Caenorhabditis elegans: one gene and its partners. The protein of the gene in region 1 purifies or fractionates together with the protein of each later gene. This does not show direct contact. Each region holds a gene or a part of one and is shown in the gene's direction. Other genes may lie near its edges.

The links. The genes of interacting proteins can lie anywhere in the genome.
Region 2: the proteins of pyp-1 (region 1) and rab-1 fractionate together in Caenorhabditis elegans (co-fractionation; one large-scale study listed by BioGRID). This does not show direct contact.
Region 3: the proteins of pyp-1 (region 1) and mppb-1 fractionate together in Caenorhabditis elegans (co-fractionation; one large-scale study listed by BioGRID). This does not show direct contact.

Annotation. Positions count from the first base shown.
Region 1 is NC_003282.8:9,993,082-10,000,838, reverse strand, and holds pyp-1 (Inorganic pyrophosphatase 1), read left to right. Parts: upstream 1-2,875; coding exon 2,876-3,082; intron 3,083-3,128; coding exon 3,129-3,280; intron 3,281-4,047; coding exon 4,048-4,178; intron 4,179-4,225; coding exon 4,226-4,716; intron 4,717-4,768; coding exon 4,769-4,935; intron 4,936-4,979; coding exon 4,980-5,115; 3' UTR 5,116-5,454; downstream 5,455-7,757. Other genes in the region: C47E12.3 (alpha-1,2-Mannosidase), read left to right, coding at 15-467, 520-794, 839-1,264, 1,320-1,532; uba-1 (E1 ubiquitin-activating enzyme), read left to right, coding at 5,916-6,110, 7,490-7,629, 7,677-7,757. UniProt on the Caenorhabditis elegans protein: Catalyzes the hydrolysis of inorganic pyrophosphate (PPi) forming two phosphate ions. Plays a role in intestinal development and subsequent normal secretory, digestive and absorption functions. Required for larval development.
Region 2 is NC_003283.11:1,260,469-1,267,088, reverse strand, and holds rab-1 (RAB family), read left to right. Parts: upstream 1-3,099; 5' UTR 3,100-3,132; coding exon 3,133-3,155; intron 3,156-3,210; coding exon 3,211-3,331; intron 3,332-3,385; coding exon 3,386-3,433; intron 3,434-3,486; coding exon 3,487-3,582; intron 3,583-3,637; coding exon 3,638-3,838; intron 3,839-3,886; coding exon 3,887-4,015; 3' UTR 4,016-4,472; downstream 4,473-6,620. Other genes in the region: C39F7.5 (BACK domain-containing protein), read right to left, coding at 521-1,055, 2,112-2,205, 2,254-2,294; C39F7.1 (uncharacterized protein), read right to left, coding at 4,502-4,732, 4,781-5,275, 6,520-6,620.
Region 3 is NC_003282.8:9,071,369-9,078,719, forward strand, and holds mppb-1 (Mitochondrial-processing peptidase subunit beta), read left to right. Parts: upstream 1-3,304; 5' UTR 3,305-3,308; coding exon 3,309-3,341; intron 3,342-3,387; coding exon 3,388-3,510; intron 3,511-3,559; coding exon 3,560-3,646; intron 3,647-3,706; coding exon 3,707-3,836; intron 3,837-3,889; coding exon 3,890-4,275; intron 4,276-4,358; coding exon 4,359-4,463; intron 4,464-4,518; coding exon 4,519-4,638; intron 4,639-4,689; coding exon 4,690-4,786; intron 4,787-4,834; coding exon 4,835-5,130; 3' UTR 5,131-5,203; downstream 5,204-7,351. Other genes in the region: Nuclear hormone receptor family member nhr-11, read left to right, coding at 607-837, 945-1,076, 1,126-1,190, 1,238-1,369, 1,416-1,531, 1,852-2,000, 2,051-2,152; mans-4 (alpha-1,2-Mannosidase), read right to left, coding at 5,226-5,364, 5,407-6,007, 6,055-6,367, 6,420-6,550, 6,597-6,782, 6,839-7,039, 7,088-7,115. UniProt on the Caenorhabditis elegans protein: Catalytic subunit of the essential mitochondrial processing protease (MPP), which cleaves the mitochondrial sequence off newly imported precursors proteins. Preferentially, cleaves after an arginine at position P2.

The DNA of each region.
Region 1 (7,757 bases):
CTGTAAATTTTCAGGAGACGCAGACGAATTCAAACGAGCTGTTAATCTTGTAATTAAAACAGTATCGTTTGAAAAGAATACAACAGTTCAAGTATTCGAATCAACTATTCGAGTGATGGGTGGTCTTCTGGCTGCTCATATGATTGCTGCCGATAAAACTAATCGATTTGGTCCTTTCTATATGTCAGACTACGGTGGAGAACTTTTAACACTTGCCCATGATTTAGCTGGGCGACTTTTACCAGCGTTCGATGGAACGGCCACCGGAATTCCTTACACCCGTATAAACTTGCAAAAGGGAATTCTTCCGGGAACGACAAACTCTACATGTACATCAGGCGCGGGGAGTCTATTGCTTGAATTTGGTGTATTGTCAAAGCTGCTTGGAGATGACACCTATGAACGACTTGCTCGACGAGTTAATGAAAAGTTGTGGAATTTAAGAAATGAGGTCACTGGATTGCATGGTATTGAGAAAATTAAAAATTGTGTTGCAAAACTTTATACATCTAATTTCAGGAAACTTAATTGACATTCAAACTGGAGAATGGCTTGGTCACTTAGCAGGCCTCGGTGCTGGAATTGATTCATTCTATGAATATATGCTAAAGTCGTACATCCTTTTTGGTAATCAACGAGATTTAGATATGTATAATGAATCATTTGCTCGTATCACAACATACATGCGTCGAGGTCGTTCTAGGTGTTCCAGTCTTGAAGGTGATATTCCAATTTATGTAAATGTTGATTCAAGAGATGGAAGCACTTCAAATACATGGATCGATTCTCTTCAGGTGACAGTTACATATTGTTGTTTCTAGTAAACTTTCAATTTCAGGCAAGTTTCGCAGGAGTTCTGGTTTTGGCTGGTGAAGTCGACGAGGCTGTGTGCCATCATGCCCTTTACTATGCAATTTGGAAGAAATACGGAGTTCTACCCGAACGATTCAATTGGCAGTTACAAGCTCCTGATGTCTCATTTTATCCACTTCGTCCAGAATTTGTTGAATCTACATATCTATTGTACACTGCTACGAAAAATCCATTTTATCAGCATGTTGGACTGGAAATTCTTGATTCATTAGAAACAATTACTCGAGTAAAATGTGGCTTCGCAACTGTGCATGATGTCATTGATGGAAGTCTTGAAGATCGAATGGAATCGTTTTTCTTATCAGAAACATTAAAGTATTTATACTTGTTGTTCGATGTAGATCATCCAATTAACAAGGAACAGCAAGAAAGTGTTCTTTTTTCAACAGAGGTATGAATATTGCTGATCTAGGAATTCTTACTTACAATTAGAAAAGTAATTTCAGGGTCACATATTTCCAATATCCCCGCTGTTCAATCTGCCTCCTACTCCGCCATCTCAATATGATCCACCTCTCAAACCATTGCCACGTACCAACTCATCATTTTGCGAAACTGCCACAGACTTCACTTTTGGAACCCCACCACTTCGTCATTCTCAAATGCGTGAATTGTTCAAAGTTATTGGAGTTGATTCGGTTCTTCACGATTGGTTATAATTTATTTGTACTATTGCATATCTGATTTCTTGTTGCCTTATATTTTATGTGGTTTTAGTTCTGTGATAGCAATATTTTTTTTCCGGTTAGCATTAAAATATATGAATTTCAATGATCTAGAAATAAATCAAAAGAAGATAGAATAATGAAATCATATGTTTACATTCTACTAAAATCAATAAGAGTTTAAGTTTTACCAACAATTATGACACATCGTTTGTGATTTGTAATCAGTGTAATACAATGGCGAATGGAGAAACCGAGAGGTATTGATAAGAGAAGACTGCTCACAGAGCAAAAACAAGTCCAAGCGGTTTTCAATATTAGATTCTCCTCCCAGAAGTGTTCTTTGATTGATCTTTCAGTGATGGTCGTTTCTTGATGGGCCTCGTGTTGATCGCCAAACGAAACAAGCCGCTGATCGCGATGATGGCTGCTATACTTTTCACAGTCGCTGTATTTTTGGCTACGAGGTTTGTTGCATTCGACTGTTCCTATTTGGTGGTTTTCAAATGCAAATTAATATTTAGCATATTTTCTCAACTGTCTGGGATTTTTATTTTATTTTTATGCGTTCAGACTTAAATATTTCACTGTTACCGTAGCTGAGGGTTGCGTCTGCATTTTCATGTAGTTTGTGGTGTGATGTGTGTGTACACTGCTATATTTTCGTAGGCCTATTTTTTACAAATTGCTGCGCTGGCAATGCTATTCTTGTTTTGTTTTTATCTTAATCAAATTTTTAGTTATTTTTTATACATATTAATTCTCAAAAATGTATTCAGTATTTGTAAAATTATCTGCTAAGAGTGATTAAATACATTGATCAATACTGAGTGGAGTTATTTATTAGGAACATCAACGATTAATTTTATTTTTTCTGCGTTTTTCAAGCTACATATTATTGCGATAAGGAAATTGAAAATGCATGTCTTCCATAACTTTTATCCGTGCCATTGAACAAGAAGCCATTTATCACCAAACATGCGAAGAGCCTTTTAGACAAGAAAATTAGCTTGTGCAAATTTATTTTAAACCTCTATTGAGTTGATGTTATCTATATTGAGATGTTCAAAAATTTCATGACTGAAATTAGGATTTCTTTTGGGCCCAGGTGAGAGTTTTTTATGCTGATTGTTTTGAGCCACAGGGTTTAGATAATCGTTGAATGATATTATCCTGCCTTATGTTTCAATTTTCAATTTAATCTTGCTTCTATCATGACGACATAACCAAATCCACACATATCACCAACTGCTTGAAAATGTGCATGCGCCACAGCGTCTCTCGTGTTTTCCGCATATATCTCACAAATGTCTGTAGTTGTCCTCATCTCTTCCTAGATGATACTGAGCTGTCGAAGTGTGGCCACGGCGAGAGGATTTTTGTTATCAACTCGTCTTATTATGGGCTGTGCCGTGAGCCAAGAAAGCGCCATCGCCACTGTCTCGTCATCTTCAAACACTGCAACAACATCCACCAGCAGTTCAAATACTTCACAGAAATGGGCCACTTCAAGGACATCGCGTCCAGTTACAAACGTCACACAGGCAAGACTGATGAGTATTGTTCTAGTTTTATTTTGGTTATGTGTAGGTTTCTGCGATTCACACCACTTCAATGGATTCCGGCAGCTCAACTGTCCAATTACCTTCTCCTCGTGGCAGTCTTACCACAGCCGTCTCCACCTCTTCTTCGGGAGCTCAACGACAAATGTCAGCCAATTCGGAGAGGAGTCTGCACACGAGGTTGCGTGTTGATGTTTCTTCCTTCTTGTGTCTGTGTCGTTTTTAAGGGAGGATAACGTTTTATATAATCCTTATTGATGTTTTCTATCACTTTCTAATAACTCACATCCATTGGTAGAGCGGAAAAGAAAAGAAAACAATTATTTAATCTAAATCTGGGTCATGCTCGAATCGCTGCTAGATCTTATATTGAGAAAAAACGTAGTTTAAAAATATTTAACCCTTCTCCAAAACTTCAGTTTGTCCAGCAGCCCCTTGTAGATGAAGTGTAGGCGTACTAAACTTTACCCCGTCACCTCACATTGCAAACGGGCGGTGTCAGCTGATAAGACTAGTCCGTCACCAAATGCTCAAAGAATAAAGAAATGTTGCCTATAATTATGTAACATACTTTTCAAAGATGCCAGTACACATGCTTATAAAATGACACTTTGTGTTTGGAAATTTATTTTCAAGTTGCTTTATTGTCTTTATTTGAATTCGCATTTTAAATTCTGGCGTATTTTTTTTTTAAACTTTTAACGTGAAAACTTTTGCAAATCCACGTTTTAATAGTTTCGAGTGGCAAAATGTTTAAAGATTAGTTTAACAAAAACCTTGTGAAAAATGTTCTCTTGGCTCTTTTGCGGTCGTTGTTTCCGAAACCCAAACAAGTTTGTTATACTTATAATTGGCTGTTATGAGTGTAGAAGTGTTTTCATGATAGCATCTAATTCCACTCGCAAACACATGTAGTTTTCAATATTCGCATTATTATTATTTTTCAGGCCCTTGTCGGAGACTGCTGTCATTTTGCAAAGTCAAGCTGTGAAAATGAGCACCGGAGCCGGAGATTCAGCAGTTTACGAAGCCGTCGAGCGTGGATCTCTTTATAGTTTGGATTATAGAGTTTATATCAGTGAGTCGAAGCTGCTATAATTATTGGTTCTAATATCTATTTTGCAGAGGGACCACAAGGAATCGTATCTCCTTGGCACGATATTCCATTGTTCGCCAACAAGGACAAGAGAGTTTACAACATGATTGTTGAGATTCCACGTTGGACAAATGCTAAAATGGAAATGGCCACCAAGGAACCATTCTCGCCAATCAAGCAAGATGAGAAGAAGGGTGTAGCTCGCTTTGTTCACAACATTTTCCCACACAAAGGATACATCTGGAACTACGGAGCTCTTCCACAGACATGGGAAGATCCAAACCATGTTGTTCCTGACACTGGAGCTAAAGGAGACAATGATCCAATTGATGTTATTGAAGTTGGATCAAAGGTTGCCGGACGGGGAGCTGTTCTGCAAGTAAAAGTTCTCGGAACATTGGCTCTCATTGACGAAGGAGAGACCGATTGGAAATTGGTCGCAATTGATGTCAACGATGAGAATGCTGACAAGTTGAATGACATTGATGACGTCGAAAAGGTTTATCCTGGACTATTGGCTGTAAGTTTCGATTAAACATTTTTCAAAATACGTTTCATTTTTTTTCTTTCAGGCATCTGTTGAATGGTTCCGCAATTACAAGATTCCAGCAGGAAAACCAGCCAACGAGTTCGCTTTTAATGGAGAGTTCAAGAACCGAGAATACGCGGAGAAAGTCATCGATGAGACCAACGAATATTGGAAGACTCTCATCAAGGAAGCAAACCCATCCTTGAACACGTAGGGATTTCATCGCTTTTAATATTCTAAACTTCAAATTTCAGAGTCTCTCGGGTTCCAGAAGCTGTTCACCAAGGAACTGATGAAGCGGCCGCAACTGCCATTGGCGCTACCCCAGAACATGGAGCAAATGCTCCACTACCAGGAGATGTTGATAAGTGGCATTTTGTGCAAGGATGACTAGTACGCCCTGGAAGCCGTGAAGCATCTTCAAAACTTTAAATTTATTGCACTGTCGCTCCCTGAAATTATACTGACTCCCTCATTCTCTTGTTTTGTTCCAACGTATTTGATTATTTGATTCCTTTAATTTTATATTGTTTTTTTCATTATTCGAAAAACTTTTAAAAATTGAATTGGGGATCTTCTCTGTTTATGTATGTGATGTTTTCTTTTTGGTTTACCACCATACGTGAATTATTTGTCAAATCCAAACAGATCTTTTAAATTCAAAGTTCCTTTGGAAAAAGCAGTGAGCAGAGTCAGCACGAACTCGATAAACAGAAGAAACAATTTAAATTTTGAAAATGCTGATTTCAAACATATACGAACGAACTTTTAAAAATACATTAGAAATATCGAGAAATTTCTTTCGCAAAAAAGGAACACAAACACTACGAGACGACGATAGCGATGTTTTTATGTCAAAGAAGAAAAATGCAAAAGCGCTCTATTTTACTGCTAATATTTCTATGAGAAACTTGGCGCCATTTTCCACTTATGTTCCTTTTTCTTCATTTCGCAAGCGCGCCACTTTTTTCAAATGAAAATCAATAATTTCATCCTTCTAGAATCTTCCACAAACAGTTTGTTTCGCATTTTTTCGAAACGTGCAGTGGTTAAAAATCATTCGCTTTTCAATCTCAATTCTCGCCGAAAGCTCATCATCAGATTCTTCTCTTTTAAGCCACCATTATTCGAACTGCATCAGTTTTCATCAATTAAAAACTATTTTCAGTGGTTCTGATCTTTCGTGATTAATGACTACCATCCTTGAGCTAACATCGGCCAACAAAACTAACAACAAGGCCACCAATAACAAGCTGCAGCGTGAAGGAGAAAACGAATATCCTCCGGCGAAACGATCCAAGACTGACGACGAAGAAGAACCAACAGTCGTAGGAAACGGAACGATCGTCGGAGCGCCAAAGCAGCAAACACTTTCTGGGGTCAATGTAAGTTGAAATGGAAAACTATTTTTAAAAAATCTGAATTAACAATTTTTAATTCATAAGAAGCTTGAAAAGAAAGCTCTCAGAGATTCAATTAATTTAAGAATCCTCGTTTCTTTCCGTTGTTTTGCTATTTCAACAAAAAGATAATGAGTGTTCGCCGAATTTCACTCTGATTTTTTAGTCGAAACAGCAGGTGAAAACCCCATTCAAAATGAGAACTGATTTTTCTACCAAATCACAAGAATAAACGCATTCTCCGTTCGCTTTCTTTTATATTTAATCTTCGTTCGCCCAGAAAATTAGAGGGAAAGTTGCCGTGGCAACCACGCAGAAGCTGGCGCTGATACACTGCTTCGTAGCCGACAATGAATAATAATAGTTGGGATTTTGTTGACGGATAGAAAATACATATCCTTAATGCTTACTCGTATATTCTCTATTTTAATTTAGTCCTTGTTTCATTATGTATATGGAATATATCAGGAAGTATGATCCGGGTTGGCATATGCCCAAAAAGGTAAGTTTTAAGAATATTCTGGAATTGTTTGAAATTGATGTTTTAGGCGTCTACTTTTGTAATCAGGTAAAATATTTTAGAGAATGAGGTTATAAATTGATGACTTTTTCATTAGATGAACTGAGGTGGTAAAATTGTCCCGATACATAATAACAATTTACGTTTTAGTTTCGGCCAGTGAAACCCTGAAAAGTGTATTTTCATTCGTAGTTCTATTTATTTGTTGTCAATCCCATGTTTTCTCTATTTCTCTGCGTCTCTGTTAGTCATCATATTTCCGTTCCCGCTCTTGCTCACTTTTTGTTGTGAAAATTGAATGGTTAGTCGACTTTCTGTATTCAACGCAGTTTTTTTCCTAAGCGTTATCAGTTTCGTAGAGTTTTCCAACTTCACAAGTTATTAGGCCAACGATTGCAATCAATAATGTTCTAGAATGTGATTCGCGCTTTGTTGATCGATGTGTTCGTTTATAGAAAGTTCGGACGAATCTTTTTTCTTCGTCTTCCTAGTTAGGTTCGGATTACGAAAGGACACTAACGGGCGGTTTGACAGTCAAGTTGTTTCTTTGCCTGCGTCTCTCTCTTTATTCTTCCTCGCTCTTTTCAATTTCGCAACGAAGTCATTCAGTTTTTGTAGTTTCTCTTGTAATTTCCCTGTGTTCCACTATGACTTATTTTGTACTGTCGCGCATTAGAAACAAATTATAACTACACTAATGACTCTTTTTTCTACTCCAGTTTTATGAAAACTTGAAAAGTATTTGCCATAAAACTCGATTTTCATGACAATTCAAAATATATAAAATTTCGCTCTAAGATATATTAACATGTCAATTATATCATGTAATGATCTGATTTTTCAGCAGTCTGGAAACGTGAACGTCGAGACGACCAAAAACACTGAAGGACAAGACGGTGAGAAGATGGACACTAGCAATAATGCCGGAGGAGTTGGTGGGAACTCAGATGAGCTTCTCGACAAAAATCTTTACTCCCGTCAAATGTTAGTTTGATTTTTCTATTGTTCTAAAACAAAATTGAATATTTCAGTTACACGCTCGGCGAATCCGCCATGGTCAACCTCCGAACTGCTTCCGTTCTCATTTCTGGTCTCGGTTCTGTAGGAGTCGA
Region 2 (6,620 bases), on another chromosome or scaffold:
TGTTCTTTTTTTTCGAACCTATTGCTTTTTTTGGCACTTTTTATCGAATTTTTTAATGGTATTTTGCCCGATCTTGGAATGTCTCATTTTTCAGATTTTTTTAAATTTTCCTGAGTTCTTGAATTTTCTGAGTTTCTTTTTTCTTTTTTATTCCCAGCTTAACCCTGAGCCTAAGCCTAAAGCTAAGCCTAAGCCTACGCCTGTGCCTAACTCTAAGCCAAAGCCAAAGCCTGAGCCTGAGCCTGAGCCTAGTTGTAAGCATAAGCCTAAGCCCGGCCCTAGTCCTAAGCCTAAGCCTGGCCCTAGGCCTAAGCCTAAGCCTAAGTCTTTGAGTTCTGAGCCTTCTCCTTAGCATAAGCATACGCCTAAGTTTAAGCCTAAGCCTATACCTAAGCCTAAGCCTGAGCCTGGGCCTAATCCTAAGCCTAAGCCTAAACCTAAACATAGTCCCGTGCTTAAGCCTATTGATAAGCCTAAGCCTAAGCCCAAGGCTAAGAAACTAAAAAACTATTCTACTCACTTCCGTCGACAACTTCAATTATCAAGTCGCCATGCTTCAGATCCTGCTTGTACATATGCTTCACATCTTCTTCAAGTTTCTTAAAACATCCAAAATCTGTGCACAGTTGTTCGAGCATCTCACTTCCCAAGTTTTCCGGCCATTGTTCGTTATAAATGTACGATTTCAAGAATATCTCGACCGCGTCTTGTTCGAATTTCAAAAATTTTTGCTCGCACAAATCAAAGTTTTCCGGGTTCTCATCGTAGTTTGCCGAGATTTTGAGATTTGTACATCTTTGAGAAACGAATGCGCGGTTAGCGCGAATTGAGGTGAATTTGAATAAGATATTCAGATTTCCTGACACGGTTCTCCCGCTCTCGAAGTCTCTGAGGAAAGAATTTGTCGGTTTTCTTGAATTATCACATAGTCGCTGAAACTCGAGTAGCTTCGAATCGGCTTCAAATTCTGCTAGAAGAAGGTTGAGATCTTGAACTGGCCAACTTTTGATGAGTTCCTCGAACGGTCGGATTTGGTCTCGAGTGGAAGATTTTCTCTGCAAAAGATTTGTCGTTTATTATTTAATTTATTTATCCCGACGCCACGCGGTTCTGGCTTAACTTAAAAATTGAAATGGAAGAGTTTGCGCCGAACTAGGCCATTTTGGCTCGTCCATATCTTGGGTAGATTTACGGCGCGTTGCGTGTCGCGTCGCGGCTCGATTTTCGTTGTGTGGAGTACACAACACTTTTCCACGCGTTGTCCGGCGGACGATTGTCAATGGAGCGCAAAAAATTAAATGAGGAAAGCCAGTACTCCTGGTGACGCGGAAGTTGGACGGTCTCGACACGACAAATATTTTGCCAAATGCGATAATGTGTGCGCCTTTAACTAGTACTGTAACTTCAAACTATACATTATGGGAACGAAACAACATATTTGACGCGCAAAATATCTCGTAGCGAAAACTACAGTAATCCTTTAAATGACTACTCTAGCGCTTGTGTCGATTTACGGGATCTCGATTTTTGAAATGAATTTCGAAATTAAGCAAAAAATTGGAAAATAATTTCGCTGTCACTAGAAGAAATTAATTTCAAACATCGCTCCCGTAAATCGACACAAGTCATTACTGTAATTTTCGCTACGAGACCACGAAATTCTAAAAATGCGCATTACACAATATATATTTGACGCGCAAAATATCTCGTAGCGAAAACTACAGTTTTAAAAATTAAAAACGATTTTTTTTCAACTTCAATGATTTTTTTTTGTCATTTTTGTGTTTTTTTTTAATATTTTATCGATTAATTAATGATTTCTGTAAATCGACACCAGCGCTACACAATCCATTTAAAGAATTACTGTAGTTTTCGCTGCGAGATATTTTGCGCGTCAAATATGTTGCACAATACGCATTCTCATAATTTTGTGTTCCCGTAATATATAATTGATGGAAAAAAACGAAAGTTTGAAGTTTTTACAGTTGGATTTAAAGGCGCACGCACACACTTAATTTGCATTTAACAAAAGTTTGTCGTGTCGAGACCGGATATCGTATTTTCGGATTTTAAAATCCGTTTTTGATATTTTCAGAGTGCTTAAAACTTACTTTGAACGAAAACTTGAGTCGCGAAGTTGCTCTCAACACATTTCGAGCGCTCCGCAAACCGTTTCTCGGGGAGTTTTGACTGGTAGAAGTGAGACTAAAAGTTTAAAATTTCCATAAATTATTTTTATTTTTTACTACGCACCTTAATCTATCTTGTGCAACTTGTGAAGAATTCACTCCCATATGTAGCTTCTGTGGAAAAAATCTGCAAAATCAATAGATTAATCTGATTATTTCCTAGATTGGAAAGGATCTTCAAATAGTGAAGTTCTTTTTATGCTTTCAGATATTCAGAAAATTAGATAAAATTCGTATTATTTATATATTTATATTATATATTATTTATATATTTATAGGTATGTATTTTCGATCAAATAAATTCAATAAAAACATGTTTTTATTTCAATAATGCATGTGCGCCCCATCGCACGCGTTGCGCCGCAGCCGCTCCGCAGTCACGGGGTATTCATCTCTCTGCCTCGCCACGTCATTTCTCCCGATTCCACAGCTTTTCCTGGCTAATTTTATCCATTTTTCGACTTTTTAAAAGCTTCCAGACGTTCTTTATTGTGTTTCTGATGTTAATATCTGCCTATTGGCGTGATCAGAGTCGAAATTATGCCGAAAAAGTAATTTTTATCGATAAAAAAGTCTTGCGAAATATTTTCTAGCTTTGGAGTCTGTAAACTGATCCGGTGGAATTTTAGAATTTTTCCTTTCAGGAAAAATTCTTTTACTGATAAAAGAGTCAGGTTTTCTTGCACTGTTCGTCTGGATAAAACCGGTTTTCTCTCGTTGCTTTCTCTTTTGTTTACAAACCGCACCGCGATCAATAAATTATACACGTTGTCTCCTGTTGCTGACCGATTTGTCATATGATTTGTCACCGTTCTCATCTTTACTTTCGCAATCCTTTTTGACACTCATTTTCCTCATTCTCGCATCGATTCCTCATGCTTTATTCAATTCGCAATTTATAATTTTTCAGGGGGTTCCAATTTATCAGATCGACAAAAAGGAGATGGCAGCAATGAACCCTGAATAGTGAGTTTGCGGCAGAAGAATATTCGGTTTCTAACAATTTTTTTCCCAATTTCAGCGACTACCTCTTCAAACTCCTCCTCATCGGAGATTCTGGCGTCGGAAAATCGTGCCTGTTGCTGCGTTTCGCCGATGACACATACACTGAATCATACATCTCCACTATCGGAGTTGACTTTGTAAGTTTTCAGTATTTCCGTCGAAATTATTTATTATGATTTTGTAATTTTCAGAAAATCCGTACTATTGAGCTCGACGGCAAAACTATCAAGCTTCAAATCGTGAGTTTAACCAAATAAAATGGCGAATTCGTTTTAAAACAGTTATTTTTCAGTGGGACACTGCTGGTCAGGAACGTTTCCGCACAATTACATCGAGCTACTACCGCGGAGCTCACGGAATTATCGTTGTCTACGATATCACTGACCAAGTTAGTTTATTTTCCTAAAAAGCTTATAACAATAAATATTATGAGCATTTTTCAGGAGACATTCAACAACGTGAAGCAGTGGCTTCAGGAAATCGATAGGTACGCATGTGAGAACGTCAACAAGCTGTTGGTCGGAAACAAATGCGATTTGACAGCGAAGAGAGCTGTGGAGACTCAAGCTGCCCAGGATTATGCTGGACAACTCGGAATCCCGTTCCTCGAGACATCCGCCAAGTCATCGACGAATGTTGAACAGGTTTGTTGGGCTAAAAATGATTTTTAAAAAAATAAAATCACATTTCAGGCCTTCCTTACCATGGCTTCGGAAATCAAATCACGTATGGGACCAGTTCAAGGAGCCGGAGGTGCTCCAGGTGTGCGTATCACGGGAAGTCAACCGGTTCAAGACAAGAAGAGCGGTGGATGTTGTTAATCGAAACGATAATCTCTGTGATACCCCCCTCTTCGGCACTCTTTCACCATCAAGCTCTTAGTCGTATTTTTTTGTTTCTTTCCACTGAAAATTTTCTAATGCAACCCCTCTTCCTATCACTCTAAATTTTATCTAATGTAATTTTTTTTTGATTTTCACTTCTTTTTCTTCTGCTGTCTTTTCTCTCCCCTTATAAAAAATTCCTTCACCCACCCCCAAATTCACGTCGTAACCTAAATTATTTTCTTTTTTGAATGTGTGTGTCTGTGTGAATGTACATCCCCACGATTTTACGCTTTTTCTCCGCGAAAATAGATAATTTGTGTTGTGAAAAAATATCCTTTCCCCCTATCCACCACCCAAATCACCCCCTTCAAAAAGAGTTTTATATATTTGCTTCCCTCTTTTTTTTGTCTAAGCCCTATCCATAAACTTAAATGTGAATTTTATTGTGCTTCTGTTTTAGTTTTTATTTATCAATTATCTTTAGGCGAACCATTCCCGGAAAAAGTCGAATTTCGATAACAAGTACAACAATTGGAGGATAATTAACGCGATGCCGACCCAGAACATATCGAATATCGGAATTCTACGTGGCACCTCTGGTTCGTCCGAGGATGTGGCGGTGGCGGCATTGGAAGAGAAGTCCTCCTCGAGACAGTCGATAACCATCGCGTCTTCATTCTCGATAACAATCCCGAGACGGCTAGCCAACTTCTGCAATGAAGCATGTATAAGTGTGGTGCAGTCAAAGATCCTTTATACCTTCAGCTCTCGAGCTCCAAGCACGGCGACTTCTCCTGCAGCATTCCAATGCAGCAGTGCCAACGCGTCTTCGGCACTCCCAATAAGTTCACCACTGCCAGATGGTGCACGATTCCACTGCAACAGTGGATCGATTACATTTTCGAAAAGTTCGTCGGAACTTCGTGGAGCTCCGATGTAGAACCACATGTTTCCGGATGCAAAGTCACAGTCCTCGACGGTGGCTCGGATCTCTTGACTTGTCCAGATCTTTGCATCCGTTGAAACGTAGATGCTGTTGTCGTTACCGGCACTCGTCGTCAGAATAGACGTGGCAGGTCTCGATGGATAATGGTCGAACGGTGTGGGATTCCACGAATTTCGAACAATTATGTAGGCCGGCCGGTCGGCGAGAAGAAGCTGAGCAGCCATCGGCAGAAATTCTGTTAGCCATTTTCGTGAGCCGGCAGTTGTTGGATTGACACACGCCTCCATGAGCCACATTGGAGACTGAAACTGAAACTTGTAATAAAAAAAATATTTTTGATCTAAAGTCGAGATTTTTTCTGGGAAAATCAGAAAATCTCGTTTTTTTTCCCCCGATTTTAGCTAAAATTTTAGGTGGTTGCCTTTCAAGTCCTATTATCCAATAGCGAAATGTTGTAATTTTCGACGCAAAAGTACGGTAACCGGTCTCGACACGATTTAAAAAAATTATATTTTATGAAACGATGCATGCGCCTTTAAAAAGTATAGCTATTTCGCAATCAGCTTCGGCTTCTTTAATTTTTTCTTGTTTCTTTTAAAAATTTAAAGTTTTTTTTGTGAAAATTGATAAAATTATAAAGTCATATACTATGGGAACACAAAATTTTGAGAAGTCTGCGTATTGCGTAACATATTTAAAGCTCAAAATATCTCGTGGCGAAAACTACAGTAATTCTTTAAATGGATACTGTAGCGCTGGTGTCGATTTACGGGCTCGTTTTTTTTTTTTTTTTAAATTAAATTTAATTAATACGAAAAAATGAACGAAAATAGAATCGAGCCCGTGAATCGACACCTGCGCTACAGTATCCATTTAAAGAATTACTGTAATTTTCGCTATGAGATATTTTGCGCGTCAAATATGTTGCGAAATACACATTTTCAGAAAAAATTGTATTCAAGTAATACAAAAAACATCTGAAAATAGGAAAAGTGCAAGATTTCGAGACTACTGTACTTTTTAAAGGCGCACACTTCTTTCTAAATTTTCGGTTTTTACCTTTTTGAGTCAAAAATCAAAAAAAAACGCATCTATAGATATATGTGTCGATTTACGCAGCTCGTGTACTCCTCGAGGAGAACATTTTCCAGGCTAATCCCGGGGTTCTGGTCTTCCTCATTGAATTTTTTGCGCTCCATTGAAAATCGCCAGACGGACAACGCGTGGGAAAGTCGTGTACTCCACACGGACAAATATATTTAGTCTTACAACTAAAATCGAGCCGCGACGCGACACGCAACGCGCCGTAAATCTACCCCAGATATGACCGAGCCAAAATGGCCTAGTTCGGCAAACTCTTCCATTTTTATGAAGGAAGCCAGAAATCCGTGCAAACGGAAACAAAAAATATTTAATTTTCTAATTTTTTTGGTTTGCTCCGGAAAACTTTAGAAATTAAACAAATTTGTGCACTCTTGCGGAATATCAATAGCTGGCCGAGTTTCCGATTTTTCTAGGCCCCGTCGCTTTTTTTGTGTGCCAAAATACTCACTTCTTCCCGTTTGTTCCGTGGATCAAAATTTCCATTTGTCTTCTTCTTTTTCTTCGTTAGCTTACTACCATCGTGGACTGTGTTAGAATAAGACAAAGTAG
Region 3 (7,351 bases), 920 kb from region 1:
GACTAACTCATCTTTTGATATTCGCCCTTTTTGGGAAAACCCCTTAACTTTGTTTGTATGTTGATTTGATCTTTGAAGTTTTTCCATGCTTTTTGGTGGCTTGATTGCAGGCTAAGAGTACTGTAGATAAAGCGGATGGACCGGTTTTGCAAATAAAATTGTCTTGAATGATGTTGGGAAATTAAGAGGGAATGAGACGGTGGAAGGAGAAGCCTGACGGAAAATGGGTATTGTAAACGGGGCCTTTTTGCACTTACGATAGGGTAATAATTTTTAAAGACGGACTGCAATTGTTCATAAGATATTTAAAAAGAAAATATACTCTCAGACTTTAAATGACGCTTTTCTACTCTTGAAGGATCTATATGTAGATCTCTAAATCACTGCAATTTTTCAAATGTGAATTCTACATTTTTATTTGCAGTGACAGAATACTTTTTGCAAGGACATATTTTTCTACTCTTTAGACACTGATTTCAGGATAAATGTGCTAAAATTATAATTGGTTTTGAGTGTCTAAGAATAACTTGACTTCCGTTTTTTCAAGCATTATGAAAGATTGATGTTTCCTTTAGATTCCAGAGTGTAATTGAAACTGATTTTCAGCCAGAAGAATCTTCACGAACATCGTCATTTGATGGGGGATACTGTTCATCTTATCCATCATCATCAGCAGCCACCCATCCATCTCCACCTGGAATGTTATATTCAATTGAAAACAATTCAATTTTACAATACTATCATTCAATGGAAACTGGATTATGCTCGAAAAGAAGAATAATGTACACAAATACTGGTATGGACTTCATTCTGGATACTCATGCAAATTTGCAATGTGTAAGTTTTCATGATCATATTTTTAATTTATAGTTACACTTCTATGAAATTATTATTTAATGGCGAATCAGTTTGTGAAAATTCTCAGCATTTCTCATTATTTTCAGCCGTTCACAGTCAATGATCTACGCCCACACGATTACCGAAATTTTCGTGGAATGCTCAGACATGATTTTGTAATGCTTTTTGACTACGCAACACGATTTCCAGAGTTTAATAGTTTTACGAGTCATGAGAAAGTGAGTTAATACTACGCAATTAGGCTTCTCAAATTATTATTTTCTGCAGAATATGTTCTATCGGCAAATTGTTGCTGTTGATTTTATATTGTCTTCCGCATATTACACGGCAAAGTAAGTTTTTTTTAGAAATGACTAAAATGAAAATAAAATGATTTCAGACTCGGTCAAGCACATCGTCAAATGGTATTGACAAATGGTGAATATCTGAATATGGATCCTTTACCAATGTCCGGAAATGAAATTGATGCCAGACGATATTTTGATTGCGATGAGGACTTTTCAAAGTATAGGTAACTGTTCTGCTACAACAATTACAATAATTGCATATAATTTCAGAGCTCTAATGCCAATGCACATCGCCATTTGGGAAGAAAGCATCGTCCCATTTTCCAAACTGAATGTCACTTTTGAAGAATTTTGTTTGTTGAAGGCACTTACAGTATGGCAAGCTAGTGAGTTATTTTTTCACGTTTCAGAGATAGCTTAACTTGTGTTTGAAACTCTTACCACTTTTTTTCCAGGCGGGTGTTTATTTAGTGTTAATTTTTAAATTCATCATTTTCTCGTAAAATAAACTCATATTTTGGCAGTAGGCAGGTGAAGGTGGCATATCAGACAGATATTTTTGTGTCTACACGGAGGAGTGACTCTGCCAAAGTGATTAACACATTTAGATTTGTTTTAAATAAAAATTCAAATACGATATACATAAGTTCATAATCTTTTTAAAAAAATGTATTCAACTTTCAAATTAATCCTTCAATAATTTCAGCATACTTCAAGCTAACTGAAAATGGCCGTGAAAAATGTCGTAGACAAAGGAATATCATAATTGGCTTTCTATCAAAAATGTGTCATTCACCAGGTGGAGGCGGAGAGCATCGTGTTGGAGAACTTCTGATGAGTATGAATTATCTCAGGGTTTGTTTATTTTTGTATAACAGCTATCCAGCAAACAAAGGATATTACAGGAATCTGCTCAAAAACTCACAACTTCTTACGTGATGCTCACAGTTTTCAATGTTCTCAACTGTGATTCAATGCTTCATGAAATGCTTAATTTTCAATACTAGCTAAATATTTGTGTGAAAGTGTTTTATTATGTTCAAATTTTATTGTTTTATCATGATCGTCAATAAAACAAGGGCAAATACTGTTTTACTACTTGATCTCTTACTACGTGATCTCTTTTACTATGATTTGCATACATAGATCTTTTACGACGTTTTACTCTTTTGCTACAACCGTATTTTTTACTCCGTTATCCCATTTCGATCTTTTGCTACAGTTTGTATCTTTTGTTACGGTGGACATTTTTACTACAATGACAAGGATTGTATCCTTTACTAATGATTTTTTACTACATACGAATTAAAAATTAATTTTCATAGTACATATATTCTAGATATGAACAAATGTATGAATATTTTTTAAAAATGCATAGGTCACAGTTTTAGTTTGTTCTCAAGTAGTTCTAGTAAATTTCAGTTGTTTTCTTTTGATGGGATACTGAGTTGGAGTTCATGGAGAGATACTGTTGGGTTACTGTAGTTGTACTGTGGTAGTAAGAGTTTTCAGATTATATCGTTTTTTTTTTTAATTTCTAGAAATTGATTCATTATGAAATGATCAGAACTTATTATGAACATTTGGCTCTAGATATTAAAAAAACACGATATGCTCTTTTGTTCTCTTGTAATCATGAATAAGGATCGCTAGATACCCACTCCTGTTTGTGCGCGATTATAAATAATCCCCGAAAGGACATTTCCAAAATTACCGTTTCCCTGGACATCGTTTTCCAAAAATACAAGCTCTAAACGAGAGCCCCTTGATGTTTTTTATTTGGTTCGAAATTTTATATGTCTGCATAATCTGAAAAATTAATTGGAAATTCCGAAGTTATGAAATACCGCGTGCAATTGTTCAAAATCTTTTATTCAAACTTCCGCCTTTTTGCCCGCGGCGGCCGCGTTTGTGAAAGTTCTTCCATTCGCTACGTACACCTCGTGGACAAAGTTAATTTCACTTTTTTAGAAGCATTTTCTGCAATTCTGTTCAATTTTTGTTTAATTCGTTACTCTAATCGTTTTGTTGTATCAATGTCAGCAAAAAGATTTTTATTCCAGTATTACGTAGATTTGTTTGTGTTTAGCCGACAAATTGAGCTTCACTATTGCGTAACCATTGTTTCCTTGAAAATAGAGCATATAAATTTTTTTCAGATAAATGTACAGAAGACTAGCCTCCGGCTTATATCAGGTAATTTAAACAATTTTGTTTACAGTGAAAGTAATTTATTTTTCAGACTTCCCAAAGAAGAATCGCACAAGTTCAGCCGAAATCAGTATTTGTCCCAGAAACAATTGTAACGACACTTCCGAATGGGTTCAGAGTTGCAACAGAAAACACAGGTGGATCTACTGCTACTGTAATTATTTTTCCTAAATTATTTGTTTGTTCAAAGCTATTTTTATTAGATCGGAGTATTTATTGATGCCGGCAGTCGCTACGAGAATGAGAAAAACAATGGAACAGCTCATTTTCTAGAGCATATGGCGTTCAAAGTTAGTTTAATTTAATTTTTAGAAAATTTTGAATTTCATATAAAAATCCGAATTTTTCAGGGAACGCCTCGCCGGACTCGAATGGGATTGGAGCTTGAAGTTGAAAATATTGGAGCTCATCTAAATGCGTACACTTCTAGAGAAAGCACGACGTATTATGCTAAATGTTTTACAGAAAAGCTTGACCAATGTAAGAAATAAAATTATTAATGCAATTTTTAAAATATCTATTCCGAATTGCAGCCGTCGATATTCTTTCGGATATTCTTCTGAACAGCAGTCTTGCCACTAAAGATATCGAAGCAGAACGTGGTGTAATTATTCGAGAAATGGAAGAAGTTGCACAAAACTTTCAAGAAGTTGTATTTGATATTCTTCATGCTGATGTTTTCAAAGGAAATCCTCTTTCCTATACAATTCTTGGTCCAATTGAATTAATTCAAACAATCAATAAGAATGATCTTCAAGGATATATTAATACACATTATCGAAGTGGCAGAATGGTATTAGCAGCAGCCGGAGGTGTCAATCATGATGCGATTGTTAAAATGGCAGAAAAATATTTCGGAGAGCTCAAGCATGGAGATTCTTCAACTGAATTCGTCCCAGCCACTTACAGTCCCTGTGAAGTCAGTTTTTGTTTGAATAAATTCGCTATCAGCAAATATTAAATAGAATTAACAAAATATATTTTTAAATGTTTACATTTCAGGTTCGAGGTGACATTCCAGATCTTCCAATGTTGTACGGAGCGATGGTTGTCGAAGGAGTATCTTGGACCCATGAAGATAATCTTGCCCTTATGGTGGCTAATACGGTACTTTTTTAAAAAATATTTTTATAACTTAGAAGTTGATAGTTCATCATTCCAGCTAATGGGTGAATACGATCGTATGCGTGGATTCGGCGTGAATGCTCCAACTCGCTTGGCTGAAAAATTGTCACAAGACGCAGGAATTGAGGTTTTCCAATCATTTAACACGTGCTATAAAGTAATGAATTCCTGGGAAAAAAAACTCTTTTTACATATTTCTGTAATTCAGGAGACAGGATTAGTTGGAACTTATTTCGTAGCTGCTCCGGAATCCATCGACAATCTTATTGATTCAGTTCTTCAACAATGGGTTTGGCTTGCGAACAGTGAGTTTTTATTTAACATAGTCCTGAGTCAACATCTTTCATTTCCAGACATTGATGAAGCAGCGGTTGATCGTGCCAAGCGCTCCCTGCATACGAATCTACTCCTAATGCTCGATGGCTCAACTCCAGTCTGTGAAGATATTGGTCGACAACTCCTTTGCTACGGTCGTCGGATACCAACTCCAGAATTACATGCCCGAATCGAATCAATCACAGTCCAGCAGCTCCGAGATGTTTGCCGACGTGTATTCCTTGAAGGACAGGTCTCTGCAGCAGTTGTTGGAAAGACGCAGTATTGGCCAGTTAATGAAGAAATTCATGGAAGATTGATCAGAATGCAATAGATACATGTGTTATAGTTTATTTGTTAGACAAACGTTTTGTTTTTGGTAAAAATAAATTCTAAAAACCCGTCAAAAAGTGAAAAATACAGCATCAGTCAATTGTAAATTGGAAGTGGGTGGGCTTCAGTGTTGAGAACCCATCGATCGAGTGGAAGGATTTCTTGATCATCAGCCATTAGAAGGTAAAGGTATTTGAGGGTCTCAGCAAGGAAGAATGATTCCATTTTGTCACGTCTGAATTTGAATGATTAAAAATTAAACAAAATGCTGACAAACCTTTTGATCTTCTTTCTGAGCACATTGTCAATTGAGCTGTATCCACCAGTTTCCACTTTTGCATACTTTTCAATCGACTCAAAAGCTTTCCATCCCCACTCTTGATATTTCTTATCTTTAGTAACACGATACAAATAGAACCACGCTTCAATTGCTTCTGGACGGAGAAGTGAATGAGCATCAAGATTCTTCACATAAGTATCCGCTTGTGTCATATCAGAACTATCCTCCATATTGAAATGTATTATTTCTGGTCCAAGTCCTGTTGGATTTTCATACATTTTATGACAAACATTTCCAATATTTTTAGCCATTTCCAAATGTTCATTGTCATGATCAAGACCATTTAAATGGGAAAGTACAAGAGATCCGGAAAGGAAACAGACAAGGTGATCCATTTTTGGATAGAACTGTGCCAATTCGGTTATTTCACCGAGAAACCAGATGCTATTCGGCTGAGATTGTCTATAGAGATGCTTTTTCATGGCGGCAATGGATTGAATGAAGTCGTCACGCAGCCAATCAATTGATTTTTTGGTTTGAAGCCATTGCTTGATAAGATATTCGTAGTAGCTGTCAGCACGAGCTCCAAGAGTAATACCTAAAAAGAAGAAGAATTTTGTTAAATTAGTTGATATTCAAACAAACTTGATTTTTTGAATTCTCCTTTTCCGTCAATGTAAAATGGGCACAGTCCATCCATCTTTTTACATCCAACATTGTGAACATGCTCCGATGCTCCGAACGCCACATCTTCATACTTTTGATCACCGGTCAAGGCTGTCAAGTCTCTGAATTCCAATTGTAAAGTGGTGGCTTCAGCTAAAGAAGAAAGATCGCGATTTGGACTGCAAGCATTCCCGTTATCTAGGTTTACATCACTTTTTGGTATTAGTGAAGACGATTTAGTGAAGGCTTTGATCAAATTATCTCCAAGCTGAGTAGCTTTTTCAAGGAGCGCCTGAAATAATTTTAATTAGTTTTTTTGTTTTATATACAGATTTTCGTCTTACTTCTTCTCCTGTCAGATGATACCCACTCAACAGTCCACCGAGAACTCGAATTGTGGTCTCGAATACATTAACGCTTCTGGCTGGAGACACGTTCAGATTTTCCCGAATCCATTCAACACCATCGCGAGTTTCTGGAAATTAATTTTTTTTAAATTCAATTATAAAATTTCAAAATACCTTCTTCCAATCCCATTATTATCGCAGTATCTAAACTATCTATAATGGTAAGTCCAAGCCCAAAAGAATCGTCAAATCGCTTTGAAACTGGGCGAAGTTCATCATGACCCCATGCATACTTTTTATATCCAGACCAAGCATGCTGGAATGCTCGTACAATGGCTTTTTGTCTTTCATTCGTAGGACCTGAAAAACTAGGATTTTTAAACTTAAAAATAGAATTCATGAAATCAAAAAAAAACCTTGAAAAACTGGCGGCGCTCTTTTCAACTTGGTTGCCTTTGGTGTGCCATATGTTTCATTCGAATTTTGTCGATTTGCCGAGTTTGTTCCAAAAAATTTCTGTCTTCTAGGATTGAGAAGTTCTGCTGGTCCAGCTAGATTCAGATAAAGTGCAAGAAATACGAGTAGTTGCATATAAGCAATGAATAAAATAAAGAGAGCTGTAAATAAGTATGAATTGTACACAGCGAAATAGAAGAAAAACTAACTTTTTCGATTAATTTTTATGCGAACCATCGGAAAATGATAACTTTACGTTAATAAAGTCAAATAATTTTTAATAAAAGAGTCTGTGTCGAATTAACTGAAAAAACAGCGTGGAAAGAGTTGTGGAAACAGTGTTTTTAAATTAATTTATAAATTTGGTTTTTCAGCTGGTCGAGAAACCGAGCGTTCAAATTCTAGTCCACGAAAAAAAACGTGGAAGTTTAAAATTCATTAGAAACTTACCTACGTGATTTTAGTAAGGTTTT